Linked DNA regions of Arabidopsis thaliana. The protein of the gene in region 2 interacts with the protein of the main gene of each other region in a pairwise test. Each region holds a gene or a part of one and is shown on either strand. Other genes may lie near its edges.

The links.
Region 1: the proteins of IDD5 (region 2) and MBD02 interact in a two-hybrid assay, tested with the Arabidopsis thaliana proteins (one large-scale study listed by BioGRID).

Annotation. Positions count from the first base shown.
Region 1 is NC_003076.8:13,522,873-13,528,036, forward strand, and holds MBD02 (methyl-CPG-binding domain protein 02), read right to left. Parts: upstream 2,927-5,164; 5' UTR 2,749-2,926; exon of another isoform or gene 2,404-2,748; 5' UTR 2,399-2,403; coding exon 1,953-2,398; intron 1,848-1,952; coding exon 1,794-1,847; intron 1,376-1,793; coding exon 1,218-1,375; intron 1,014-1,217; coding exon 853-1,013; 3' UTR 531-852; downstream 1-530. Other genes in the region: AT5G35320 (DBH-like monooxygenase), read left to right, coding at 1-272. UniProt on the Arabidopsis thaliana protein: Probable transcriptional regulator.
Region 2 is NC_003071.7:503,406-511,526, reverse strand, and holds IDD5 (indeterminate(ID)-domain 5), read right to left. Parts: upstream 6,153-8,121; 5' UTR 6,005-6,152; coding exon 5,821-6,004; intron 5,560-5,820; coding exon 5,163-5,559; intron 3,601-5,162; coding exon 2,373-3,600; 3' UTR 2,297-2,372; exon of another isoform or gene 2,062-2,296; intron 1,830-2,061; 3' UTR 1,435-1,829; intron 1,031-1,434; 3' UTR 746-1,030; downstream 1-745. UniProt on the Arabidopsis thaliana protein: Transcription factor acting as a positive regulator of the starch synthase SS4. Controls chloroplast development and starch granule formation. Binds DNA via its zinc fingers.

The DNA.
Region 1 (5,164 bases), on a different chromosome or scaffold from region 2:
CACAGTCCATAGGAACCTTCCAACAACCGCGGACACTAGAGATTACTGAGTTGGATGAGACAGGTGAGGATGTGGTAATGGATGATGCATCCAATGAGATAGAAGAGGATACTGGAAGCACCAGTCTATCTTTCCCTCAGCAAGGACAGCAGCAAGAGCAAGAGCACACCTATGGTTTTGGCTTGCATCCGTGGCAGCAAGCGCAAAACTGTATGATTCCGCAGCTTCCTCAAGTCAGTACTACTCCCACTCCCATCACTTGGTTCCGATGATACGGCTTAACCACGGGAAAACTGAATAGGGAATGCACGAAGCAGGATAGTAGAAGGCAGATTTGTTGTTAGTTTTTGTTTCTGCCTTTTGCGCAGATTAGAGATATGGCATAGTTTTGTTGTTGTATGTTTACCAAACTAATAGCTTCAGCCATATCTCCCCTAGGATGGTTTTGACTTTCGAATGTTATCTTTTGGATGTCGTTAAAATATCCTTTGAGATAAACTACGTTCCAACTTAACATGCACATCTACAGTTAAACAGACTCTGATCTATTCTTATCTGCTTTCTTGTGTCAGTCCTCTAGTGGATTTGTGAGATAATGGAATTTGGTAATAATCAAACTTTAGGTTTAAAAACTTTCAGCATGAAAATCCAGTTATTTGGAAGCAAAAACCAAAAGGACCCATCTTCTTCATAGAAAGTATGTTACACTGCAAAACAAAATAGATGGTATACACAAAAAACAAGCTAACCACATGCTTTCAGTTTCTTCGATAAGACAAACCCAAAAAACGAAGAAAGAAGACGGGTTATATACCAGAGAAGACGAGATAAGTTCACTCTCGTCTAGCTAGATTATCTATCAGCAAGTTCGTCGTTGGAGCCAAAGATTGATAGCGTCGATGTTTTTTTCTTTTTCGATGGTTGGTAATGTGAATTGTTAAGTCCAGACTCGGTTGGCGTACCTAGCTGCAACGATATATGATCATCTGGAGATATCCATGCCAGTGGATTAGCTGAAAAATAACAAGACAAGCGAAATGTTAGAAACTTGTAAAAGCATAGACGTTTTCATGTTAATAAAGTTCCCTAAAGACACCAATGTTCGGTTCGAGTATACGTCAAATACACTCTTGACTGAAAAAATGACATCAATAATCTAAAGCCTTGATACAAAAGATAACCACAATTATATTTATGTGCCTTGATAAGCAACACACCTTCTTTAGCTACAGGGGTGTTTGTATTATCGATGGAATCCAGTAGTCGAGCTGGGCGCTTCCTCACGTAGTCATCCTGCAGCGGTTTCGGGATTTGAAACGAGAACTGTGAAAGTTTCACCCCTTCTCCAATGTATTCGGAGTTGTCATTCAAGTACCTGCAAACCAGTAATAGTGGTTATAAGGGTGTAAAGAAGCTAGCTATACGTCACTGAAAACAATTTGGTAATCACTAAACGAATTGGTAAGTCACTAAGCTTTTTTCTCCTACCATTGTTGTCACTCTCAAATGCTGCAGGGAAGTATCATGGAAATAAGGATGATAGTTTAACTAACTTCTTGGCATAGTACATTTTCGTTAGTAAACAAAACACATGCAAGGATTTCTGTAATTTGCATAAGTGCCTAACTCTAGTTATGACCACAGAACAATACTTGAGGTTCCTACTGATTCAATATATTGGTTGACGAAAATGGTAAGACTGATACAGTGAGACCTCATCAAACATAAAAGTAAGGAACACTTTGTTAAATGTGAAAACGAAAATGTGGAAATGGAGTGGTAGAGAAACTAACTTTTGGACCTCCACAGTTGATCGAAGCTTCTTTCCAGACGGAGCAACATAATAACTGAAACAACCAAGATAAAAGAATGATAAAGAAAGCCAATACAATGGTATAAAGAAGAAAGACTAATATTAACATAAATGAGAGAAGAGTTAACGAACGACATACACATCAGCAAATCTGGTACCTCCTTCACCTCTAATCCGCAGTAAACGTTGCCAGCCAGCGGGTGGACGAGAGATATTCGGTTTATCAATAGCCCAAAGACGAGTTCCATCTTGATAGATATCAGCAGGAACATCACAAGAAATATCCGGCTTCCACTCACGCGCTGTATCGCAGAAAAACGGGTTTTCAAGAAGCTGTTCCCTAATCTCTTCATACTTCTGCATTGAAGGCATGAGTCTCCATTTGAAACAACTTGCACACTGAACCGTAAATGCCCCGATAGAGGGACACTGTGTTCTAGATGACAAAGGCTGAGATTGAACCGGTAGAACTTCTTCTTCAGTATCATCATTTCCTTTCAAGTCATAAACCACTAACTGATTCTCACCTCTATCCTCATTAGGTGAAGACGATCTTTGGACAGCTCGAGACTGCGACATACTCATAGAAACTACCTATAATAAATGGTTAGAGAAATGAATGTCAAGTGAAAACAAAAATGACAAATTTAGTTAACAAGAATCATTCATCACAATAACACTAGTCTCTCTATTAACATCATAAGAGAACATGATCAAGAAAACATTGATACGTGTAAAGAACAGTGAACAGTAGAAACCCTCGAACATTTCAATCTCAAAAATCAACAATAATCATAAAACAGAGCAAAGGAAACAACAATTATCATATAATCAAAGAAGAACATGAGCTGATAGAGACGAGATCCAAAAAAAAAACAATTTCATCGAAAAGCCGAAACAAAGATTAAAAATTTATCAAGAAGAAGAATCGTTACACGAAGAGGACGAGAGCAAACCAGGGTTTCAGAGATCGGTGAGCGAAGAAGGCTCTAAAGATCGTTGTGGTTAATTTGAGAATTTCATTTTTTGAGACAGAGCCAATTCAGACAACACTCTTTGTCTAGATAGAAAATGGGGAAACCGAGAAAGAGAAGAGAGAAAGAAACTGAATTTAATTTATTTTGTATAAATATAAAATTTGTTGTTACGAAAATAATTCTTAATTTACATTCACTTCAAAATATATCATGCTATAAGTAGGAGAATATTTGTGCTTTTGGGCTTATAAACAAATCTTACCATTAATCAAAATTTCCTTCAGAAAAAAAGAATCAAAGGATAATTCTTTCTAATATTAGATATGGATTCGTGTTGTGCATGCTAAATAGATGAAATATGTCTAACAAATATTTGCCATTGTTTAACAAATATTTTGAGACTTCCATAATATGTAAATTAAACTTTAATAAAAACAAATATATGTCAATTGTTGATTTTTTTTTTTTGGGTCAAAATATATGTCAATTGTTGATATAAAATATTAGGCCTGCGACTTCGGGTAAACCGAACCGAACCGAGTCGGTTATTTCGGGTTTCGGTTATTTTGGATTTTTGAAAATTCTTCCGAAACTAACCGAAATTTATTACGGTTCGGTTCGATTCGGATATTGGTTTCTTTGGTTTTTAAGTTTAAAACCCGAAAATAACCGATTCTTTTTTTTTTATTTTTTTTTAACATTAACAGATATACTTTATTAGAGGGATGATGTGTAATCCTATGGAGGATTTGTACAAGAAACAGAGGTACATAAGAATGAGAGACAAAAGTAACAATGTTTTCTAACTCCACTTTAGCTAATCGATCAGCTGCTTTGTTAGTTGACCGGAAAGACCATTTGATAATGGCAGTAGAAAACTTCTTCCGCCAATGTTGTATCTCCATGACGAGGTTATGAAGTTCAAAATTCCTTGTGTTCCCATTGAGTAAGCTTTCCACAGTCCTATTATCACCTTCAAATATAATCTTTCGATATCCTCTACTCCATGTATGTTGCATTGCCATCAAGAGAGCCTGTAGTTCCGCTTCTAGCACTGAGTTGCATAGTTGTCTTGTACCTTGAGCCGCAAGTAGATAACTGCCTGTGTCAATTCGTAAAATCCAACCAGCCTTTGGTGCTAGATCATTCCTTGAGAAACTGCAGTCATAATTGCATTTGATAAAGCCGTGAATAGGTTTTTGCTACCCTTGCCCGCTTCTGTCATTTAGACTTCGTCGTTGTGTGTCTCGCTGCAGAGGAATCCACTCATATGAGTCTGTTATCGCTTTTTGTACATCATCTTGCCAATTACTCCCTTTTCGCTGGTAAACTAACAAATTCCTGCTCTTCCATATGTGCCACAACATCCATAAAGGTATTTGTCTTGTGATATGGTCTTGTCTCGTATCAGTACAGCATTGAAGGATTAATCTGAATTTATCTTCAAAAGGTAAGTGTGGATTGAAAAACGCTGTATGTGACACCGGAGAGCCCCTCCAAATAGCTTGAACATAATGGCATCCAAAGAATAGGCGTTCTAATGTTTCAGGAGCTGCACAACATCGTTTACACTGTGAATCTGAAATGATATGTCGTCGTGTCAAGGCCTCGCCTGTCGCCAATGATTGAGTTACTATCCGCCACATGAAGTGCTTTAGTTTTGGTGTCGTGTCTAGCTTCCATACTACTCTCTTAAACTCGGGTAAACCTGGTGGGGGAACATAATCATGTTGTTGATTCGGTAGATGTGTACAGAGCCAATAACTTGATTTGAATGTGTATTCCCCATGCTTTGTGTAGTTCCAGCCTAGTACATCAGGGGACGGTTGTGATCTTAATCTTAACCTTGTATCAATCGTGCTTCATCTGCTTCAAAGAGTTCTTCTATTACTTCTTTATTCCACATGTTTCTGCCATCTTGCATTAGGTGCTTGACTTGTGTATGATTGGTGACCGTCGCATCACGTTTTTGAGGTGGTCTTGGTGGGTGTGTTGGAAGCCATGAATCAGTCCATATGTTTGTCTGTTTGCCATCTTCTATAAGGATTCGAAGTCCTTGCTGCAGGAGGTCTCGTCCTTCTAGAATGGATCTCCAAATGAAAGAGGGCTTCCTCCGGTTCTTGCATTCAGAATATTTGTTGTTTCAAAGTACCTTCCACGTAAGAGGCGAGTGAGCAGGGATGATGGTGCTTGAAGTATTCGCCACACTTGTTTTGCTAACATGGCTTTATTAAAGCATTCAATGTCCCTAAATCCTAACCCGCCTTCATTCTTTGGTATGGTCAGCCGCTTCCAAGCCATCCAGTGCATTGATCTCTTATCCGAGCTTTTACTCCACCAGTAAGACGCAAGTAATCTGTTGATATCATCACAT
Region 2 (8,121 bases):
GATTTAACACAATATTCCCTATGTTTTTTTAAATTAGTTTTTTAGAAAAATACACCTATTAAAAAAAAAATTAAAAATATAAAAATTATATTAAAAATAATGTATTAATTTTTGTGATTTATATTTTTCTATAATTTTAAACCAATGATATTCAATTATTTATCTTGAAGTTTAAAATTCATTAATAACTAGGTTTTAACCCGCAATTTACCGCGGGCAATCGGTTTATTTGGTTCTTATACTAAATATTTGAATAAATTTGATATCCTAAACTTATAAATATAAATTTTTAGTGATTAGTGAAGAATCGTAATATATGATTTGTATATTATTTTTGTTGAACGGTTTAGATTAAAAGGGAATTAATTTTATTGAACGGTTTAGATTCAATCGGATCATATAAAGTTTAGGAGATTGTTAAGACCAAATTATCCTTAATGATTTTAAATAGCAAAGAACAAAATCTAAAATTAAAATCAAAATTGAGGCCAAATTAGACAAAATTTCAATTTGTACTTCCCTTTTAATAATAAAGGGATAACTAATAAATAGTGTATAGAGAACCTAAAAAAATAATTTTTTAAAACAATTTTTTTTCTAAAAAATCAATTAATTTCAAAAATATACATGCTCTTTGTAAAGAGTTTTGCACAAGCTTACTACAAACAAAACATTCAGATTCATGAATAAAACATCCAATTGGTAAATTGACGAAAAAAATTAAAATAACCAATTGGTAAATGTGCATTAGTTTACAAAAGATAGAATTGAACGATAAAATATAACAAATTTACGCTTTTAATTTTAAAGCAGGGTGTCGTTGATGGTAAAAATCTACTTTCTCTACATGGATTATTTAACCAAGAAAAAAATAGGTTATAAGCAAAACAATTTTAGAACAGAAAAAGAAACAGGGGAAATTAAGAAGATGAGAGAAGAGCTGTCTGTTTTTGGTGAGACAACGATATAATCTCTCCCTCTCGTTTCATGTCGATGGGCCTCCTTACTTCCATCACTTGCATGTATGTCCCTACATTATATATACGAAATTTAACTATTATTGTTATTCCCCTTATAAATTATTACGACAAAGACATTATATTACCATTATTAATATCGTTATTTCAACAATTGTAGATGTTGTCACTCACAATAGTGTAATGATATGTTCACATACGCACACCAATAGAATAAATCTCTAACAAAAAAAATATCTAAAACTAGCTAAAAATCCAAGAAAATATCAACCATCATACACCGAAATATCAAAATACTTGAATGAAGTTCTATTAAATCATTTGAATAGTTATATTTGTAAGAGACAATACAATATCCAATCTAAAAAAAATAGTAACAACAAAATTTAAAAACTAAAACTGTAATTCTTATGTATTCTAATATATACACGATTCCATACAAAAATCGAAATTGTACCTTAGATGCAGTTTCAATTGATGCTACAACTTTTAACCGCAAATTAGCATCAATAATGAAGACGCGTGAATGTTGAGACAGAATTGTTTATTTTGGACCGTCAAATTTAAAATATGATGGGGACAATCCTTTGAGGATATGGTAGGAACATGTTACATACAGAACTATACAAATGCATAAATATATGCACATGTGACACCTATGTGACATGTATATGTATACATGTATCGAGATATTTAGAAAGGAGATCACAGGACAAACACTCGTGACATTGCCAGCTAGTGAAGATGACAAATGAAAAGAAATTAAAGAATAAAAAGGCAAATAAAAGAAAATGAAAACAAAAAGACAAATAAAAACTTAGCAAAGGCTGCTTGTACTCTCCAACTCATTGACTGCCCCATGCAATGATAAGACGATAAATGTGTCAGCCAAAAACAAATATAAAAAAACATTTTTTTCCTATCAAAAACAATTATTCACACCCAAATTTTTTATAGTTAAACCCGTTAGTATAATGTTGTTTTTAGCCTTTGACCCTATAAGAAATAATACATACAAGAACAAAGACTAAGCATTGACTCTAAAACTATAAGCCAGAAATATATTGAATTTCTTAAAGTATCTAATATGTCACAAGGCAAGAAGAAAAAAATCTACGGATAATAATATGAAAATTTCTTCATTGTGAAACCATAAACTATAACTCTGAAATTTGTTTTTTTCAGGAGGGAATCCATTTTATATAAACAATGAAAGGCAAAATCTTTTACAAAAGAAAAAAAAAAAAGAACTGAGTTTAGATAAATTGCAACTAAAATTTTAATTACTTCAAATGGGGTTTTGATGACGACATGCATACCTGAAAGATATAGCATGTACTTTGATGAACTAAAAACCTTTTTTAAAATTTCTCCTTAGAAACTTCTTTTATCTTCTTAGAAACTCGCATGATGGATTCCATAAGGTGGTGAAGTACTTGCCGGACCACCTCCGGTATTCACATTCATGCTGCTTCTATCAGCGGAATCCGACGACGAGCCAACTCTTTCTCTACTATTTCCATGTTGTTGTTGTTGTTGTTGCTGCTGTTGCTGTTGTTGCTGTTGTTGAAACCCTCCGCTTCCACTCATGCTTTTTACGATCTGTCCAACTCCAAGAAAGTCTCTAGTCATGCTCTGTTTGTCAGCGCTTAATCCTTTGTTCACTCCTCCGTACGAACCAAAAGGAGAATCAACTCCGTTAACGTTTCCCGTTGCGCCGGGGTTAGAGAAAGAATTCATCAAATCCTGAAGATTACTCTCATTTTCTCCGTAGATTCCACTCCCAAAGCTTCTTAGGATCGATGAGGCATTGTTATTGTTGTTGGTGTTGCTTCCGTTGTTGTTGTTGCTTGAGGTTGAACCCATTTGAGCAGCTTTCTGTAGAAGGGCAGTGGCTGACATGTGAGGTGCTGAATTTGGACTTTGCATTGATGAGCTAAAGAGTGAAGGGACTGATCCTGAGCTAATTCTATCTGCCGAGCTCATCAGATTGTTAGGGAAGAGACCAGTGCTTCCTTCTCCTCCTCCTCCAACAGCATTTTCGCCATCATAATGGTTTGATATCATAAGATTACCAGAAGAAACAGCAGCAGCGGCGGCAGCATTAGGGTTACTTGTGGCAGAAGTAACTCCGTTGTTTCCGGAGAGGAAGCTGAGATTGAAGACATTGGAGGGAGCAGAATTATGGTTATCATGTGAGAACTGCATCAGATTCTGTTGAAAACTCATTGGTGATTGCTTGATGTTATTGTTCCCAGCCAAAAACCCTTGTTGATGATGATGATGATGATCTTGTTGATCATGAAAGCTAGGGTTTTGCTCTTGCATGAAGTAGCCTGAAGCATTCGCAGCAATGAGATCAGAAGAAGAGCGTGAAGCGGCTCCTCCTCCTCCTCCTCCGCTTCCAAGACGGAGAACGTCACCGGGCTGGTGATCAAGATTCTGTGGGGCCCCCATGTGGGACAGACCAAGGATCATGCTTGAAGCGTTGTTGTTGGAGTTGTTTGTGTTTTGTCCGTACGGGAAGTGATGACTTGGCAAAGAAGTCAATGAAGTTGGGTGTCTCGCACTCTCTTGAGCCAACGCGTCACAGAAAGCTCTATGTGTGATGAAACTGTCTCGCCTGTGACACAAAATAAAATAAATAAAAATCAATTTCACAATGGAATCTATTGGATCGTCAGATATATCTCTATACTATTCATATAAAATGATGAAATAAAAGACATATTTTGGGAAAAGTGAAAGAAAAAAAATATAAATGTAAGTAGAGAGAGAGACTCATCATGTCACGTAGCTACAAATAGATTCGCGTGTAATTATGGGATCTTGAAAAGTAGATAGATGGCTAGAAAGTCACTCTACTACTCTATTATACATCATATTATTATTCACCTGTGTAAACTCTTAACAAGCTTACACACTCACATGTTTGATGCATACAATAAAATTGCACGCATACACATAAATAGGAGTACAATGTTGTGTCACATTTCAACTATGATGATGTATTTGTCTATATGACTATGTGTACGAACAAATCTAACTCTTATCAATATCAGTTTATGCAATAATAATAAACATAAACATTATTAATCAACTCCGGAAAACTATTATGCTTAATTCACTATAATTTATGTATGAAACTATGAATATAGCTATCTATATAATAAATTAATGTGGTATTCAACGAATTCCAAAGGTAGGTGGAAAAAGTTAAGTTTCACACTAATGTATAGAGAATGATTGTCAAATGAATATCTGAGTTTGTCCTAATTCAAGATCTTGTATGTTCAATAAATGCAAGTTGAGCATGTATTCAATGAACTACTTATATTTTTATTTAAGAAAACTAGCTACTTATATATATTTGCAGCACCACATATTTATTTACTTCATTCTATTTATAGAACTCCTCTAAATGCACGCACACACACAAACACAGCAATGCCAGCCAAGACTGAGAAAAAAACTCTATATTCGAAATAATTATTTAGTCTATTAGTTATCACGTCTATGCAAATTTATGCCATTTTATGCAAAATGTGTAGAGTAGTGAACCAAACTAATATGTGGCTATGGTACAGAGTACAAACGAATCATATGAAATAATTGTATTTTCGTAAAATTTTACACATAAGAGAACAAACACTGTAACAACAACCTCCCTAGATATTATATAGTTTAGCAGCACGTGAATTGCCCATATAGTATAAGTATAATTTCATATCCAAGAAAAAAAAATCCTGAGAAAAATATATTAATTTATTTTTATGACAGAAAATAGGGCGGTGTTTCCAAGGCAAAAGAATATTTAAAAAAAAAACTGAAATTGAAATTGGTCCTCTTTGGTTTTGAGTTTCTGCTAGAAAGCATCTATTGAAATATGGCAGTTTCAGTGTCATCTATAGATATAGTTATATAGACACACACACACATTCACGTGTGTTCTTGTATCATTTTTTTTTATAAAAAAAAAAAGAAAAAAAAAACTAAAGTTGCATTTACTGCACGAAAGAAAGCGATAAGAGCATCGAAGACTTCGAGGCGAAACAGAAAGTGAACCTAAAAAAAACCCTAATTCATGAAGAATGACTCACAGACACATATTCACACACATATCACTATAGCAGCTCAATAGATTAAATTATAATTTAAAGAGTTTGAAAGATTTGGATTACTAACCGAGAGAAGAGTGTACCACAGTCACAACGATACTCTTTGGTACCACAAGTCTTGGAGTGAGCTTTCCAATCCGATTGAACAGCGTAACGCTTAGAGCATTTATCGCATTTCCACTTCTTTTCACCGTGTTTACGGTAATAATGTTTCTTGATTCCGGTGAGGTCTCCGAGAGCACGTGACGGGTCATGGTGGACGCACGAGGGCTCCGGACAAAGATACACTTTTCTCTTCACTTCTTTGGTCGATTTCTGTTTGAGCTTCCATGGAAGATTGTGTCCTCTTCGGTGAAGTTGTAGATTCTGTTCTCTTTGAAACCCTTTGTTGCATACTTCACATATGAATCTGTTTGTAGCCATTAGTGTCTTTGGAGATAAAGCTATCACTTCCGCATCGGAATCTAATCAAGAGGAAAATTATTAACTAAATTTTAAAAGTCTTATATTGCATGGAAGATAAATTGATTGAAATCTGAATTTTGAAAAACCAACTACAAGCTAGGGTTTGCTAATTTGCTTATTTCAAGATTTTAAAAAATGTAAAAGGGAGAAGAAAAAAAAGGACATGGAAAAGGGATTTATCTTTTTCACCAATCAATAAGTTCTTTTAAGAAATGATCACATGATTATAAAAGATTTGAATTAAGAGGTAATTAACTTACTTGGAGTTCTTGGTTGGTTTCTCTTCTTTTTCTGCGGTGGAGCTTCAAGCGGTGGCAGCGGTGCCTGGTGGTGAGGAGGTGGAGGAGGAGGAGCAGCGGCGGAGGAATTAGGTGGGAGGAGGTGAGATTGGTCATCTTGTCGGACTCCAAAGAAGGAAGCAGCGGAGGATGAAGAAGCAGCCATGGATTCTTCTGTGTTCTATGTGATGGTGAGAGAGAGAAAGAAGAAAAAGAAAAAAAAAAAGAGAAATGAAATGAAATTAGAGAGAAGAAACTCTTTAACATTAAATTCTTTTTTGACTTCCACTGATATCTTATCTCAATAAAGCCCTAAAATTGGGATATTCCAGATTTTTAATTAATTGGTTATACTTTTTTTAATAGATATAAAATTATTAAAAAAACATAGAAATTCTTGTGAGGTAATAGAAGAGAGAAGTTGAAAGTGACAGGTGAAAAAGAGTGTAGGCTAGTAAAAAGAAAGAAGAAATATAAGTCACCACCCAATGTTATAGCCTAGAGTGTTAAAAGTTCATATTCGGTTAAAAAAATAGGGTAAGATAATCAAACTGAATTTAAATCTAGCTTGGTTAGTTTGGTATAGCTCTAATTTCATATGTATGATACATATGATACTAAAAACTCTATACATTTATTTGTAAAATTTTATATAATTTTTCTTTTGTTTGTAACGCATTTAAATAAGAATATTTATATAATTTTGGTGTCGCCTGTAGACACTAACACATATACAGAGCTATTAATTATTTTTGATATCATTTTTTCTAAATATGTAATTAATTTTAGAAAAAAAAGAAACTATGAGAGCTACAGAGGTCGGTGGACCCAATCCATTTGCCACAAAACGACAGTGGATGGTGCGTGAGACAACCCTCAACAGCTCCTCTCTCTCGCTAACATATGTGAATAATAAATTTCAAGTTTTTTTTTTTTTGGATCTAAAAGGGTTTAGAAAACAATTACCATAGTGTAATATGACTTTAGAAATTGTAGAAGAAGATATTTGACACTAACATAAAATATCTATACGAGATTGCTCTTACAAGAAAAGTTTAGCATCACGATCTAAGCTATATAAAAACATAATTTTTTTGGTTTTATATATCTTAAAGAAATGAAATGGTTTTTTCCTTAAAAAGAAATGAAAATGTTGGAATTTGTGTGTATGTAACATTTAACTAATTTTAAATGTTTGACCATATAATATCTCATAAGAAAAATACGTAACCGAAGAAGGAATAAAAATATAATATTTTGAGTTTGAAATAAATTAGCGGTTGTAAAACTAAGCGACTATGTTTTCATATAATTTTACAATTTTAATAACACATAAATATAAATTTAAAACTATAAACTATAAACTAAATAAATCTCATAAAATTGTATTCTAAAGCTAATGTTTTCATATATATAGGGACAGATTTCTTGAATTTTCAAAAGTTAATCCACAAAGCATCTTATGTTTTTCTTAAATTGTCAAAATAATTATTTGTCTCAATCGTCATCATCATCTCATATGGGTCTCTCTTTTTTGGTTTTAAAAAGTTCCTATCATATCATACATACACACATATATATATGTCTGTCTGTGTGTCATGGAAGATTGAATGTGAAAAGAAATATTCCAAAGATAAAAGAAGACAAAAAGAAGAATGATTGTATATATTTTTCATGTATATGGTAAAGTAAAAACCAAAAAGGATACTCCAATTTTTTAACTATATTTCGTCGTCTCTTCCCATATTCAAGCAATTAGTTAGGAACTATTTAAATAAATCTATGAATAATTTCCCAAATGATAGATCCCGTCATCTTTTTTTTTATCCATTTAAAATATCAAAAACAACTATATAGTATATATCTATGTATATACTTTAGTGACTATTGAAAATCAGTCATGTTCTCCAATGAAGGAGATCAAGAAAATCAACCCATTTTTGTATGGGTCTTCGTTAACGTGAGCATGAGTTATATATAAAACTTGTTTAGCATAAGACAATAGAAAACAAATACGATGTGATTGTTTTTATATGATGGATAATTAGTTTTGTTATGCTAAATTTTTTGAGGAAAGGAATATAATTTGCCATTCCCGATAACAATGACACTTGAACCATATCCTTTCCTCTCACATACATATTCGAATAGAAAATTTCTTTCAAATCAACAGTAAGTAATATATAAATATAGATATATAAACAGAGCCATATTTAAAATAAAAGATAGGAAAAAGAACTTCACCTCTTTTAGCTTGTCGTTTGAGGTCAATTTTTGAAGTAA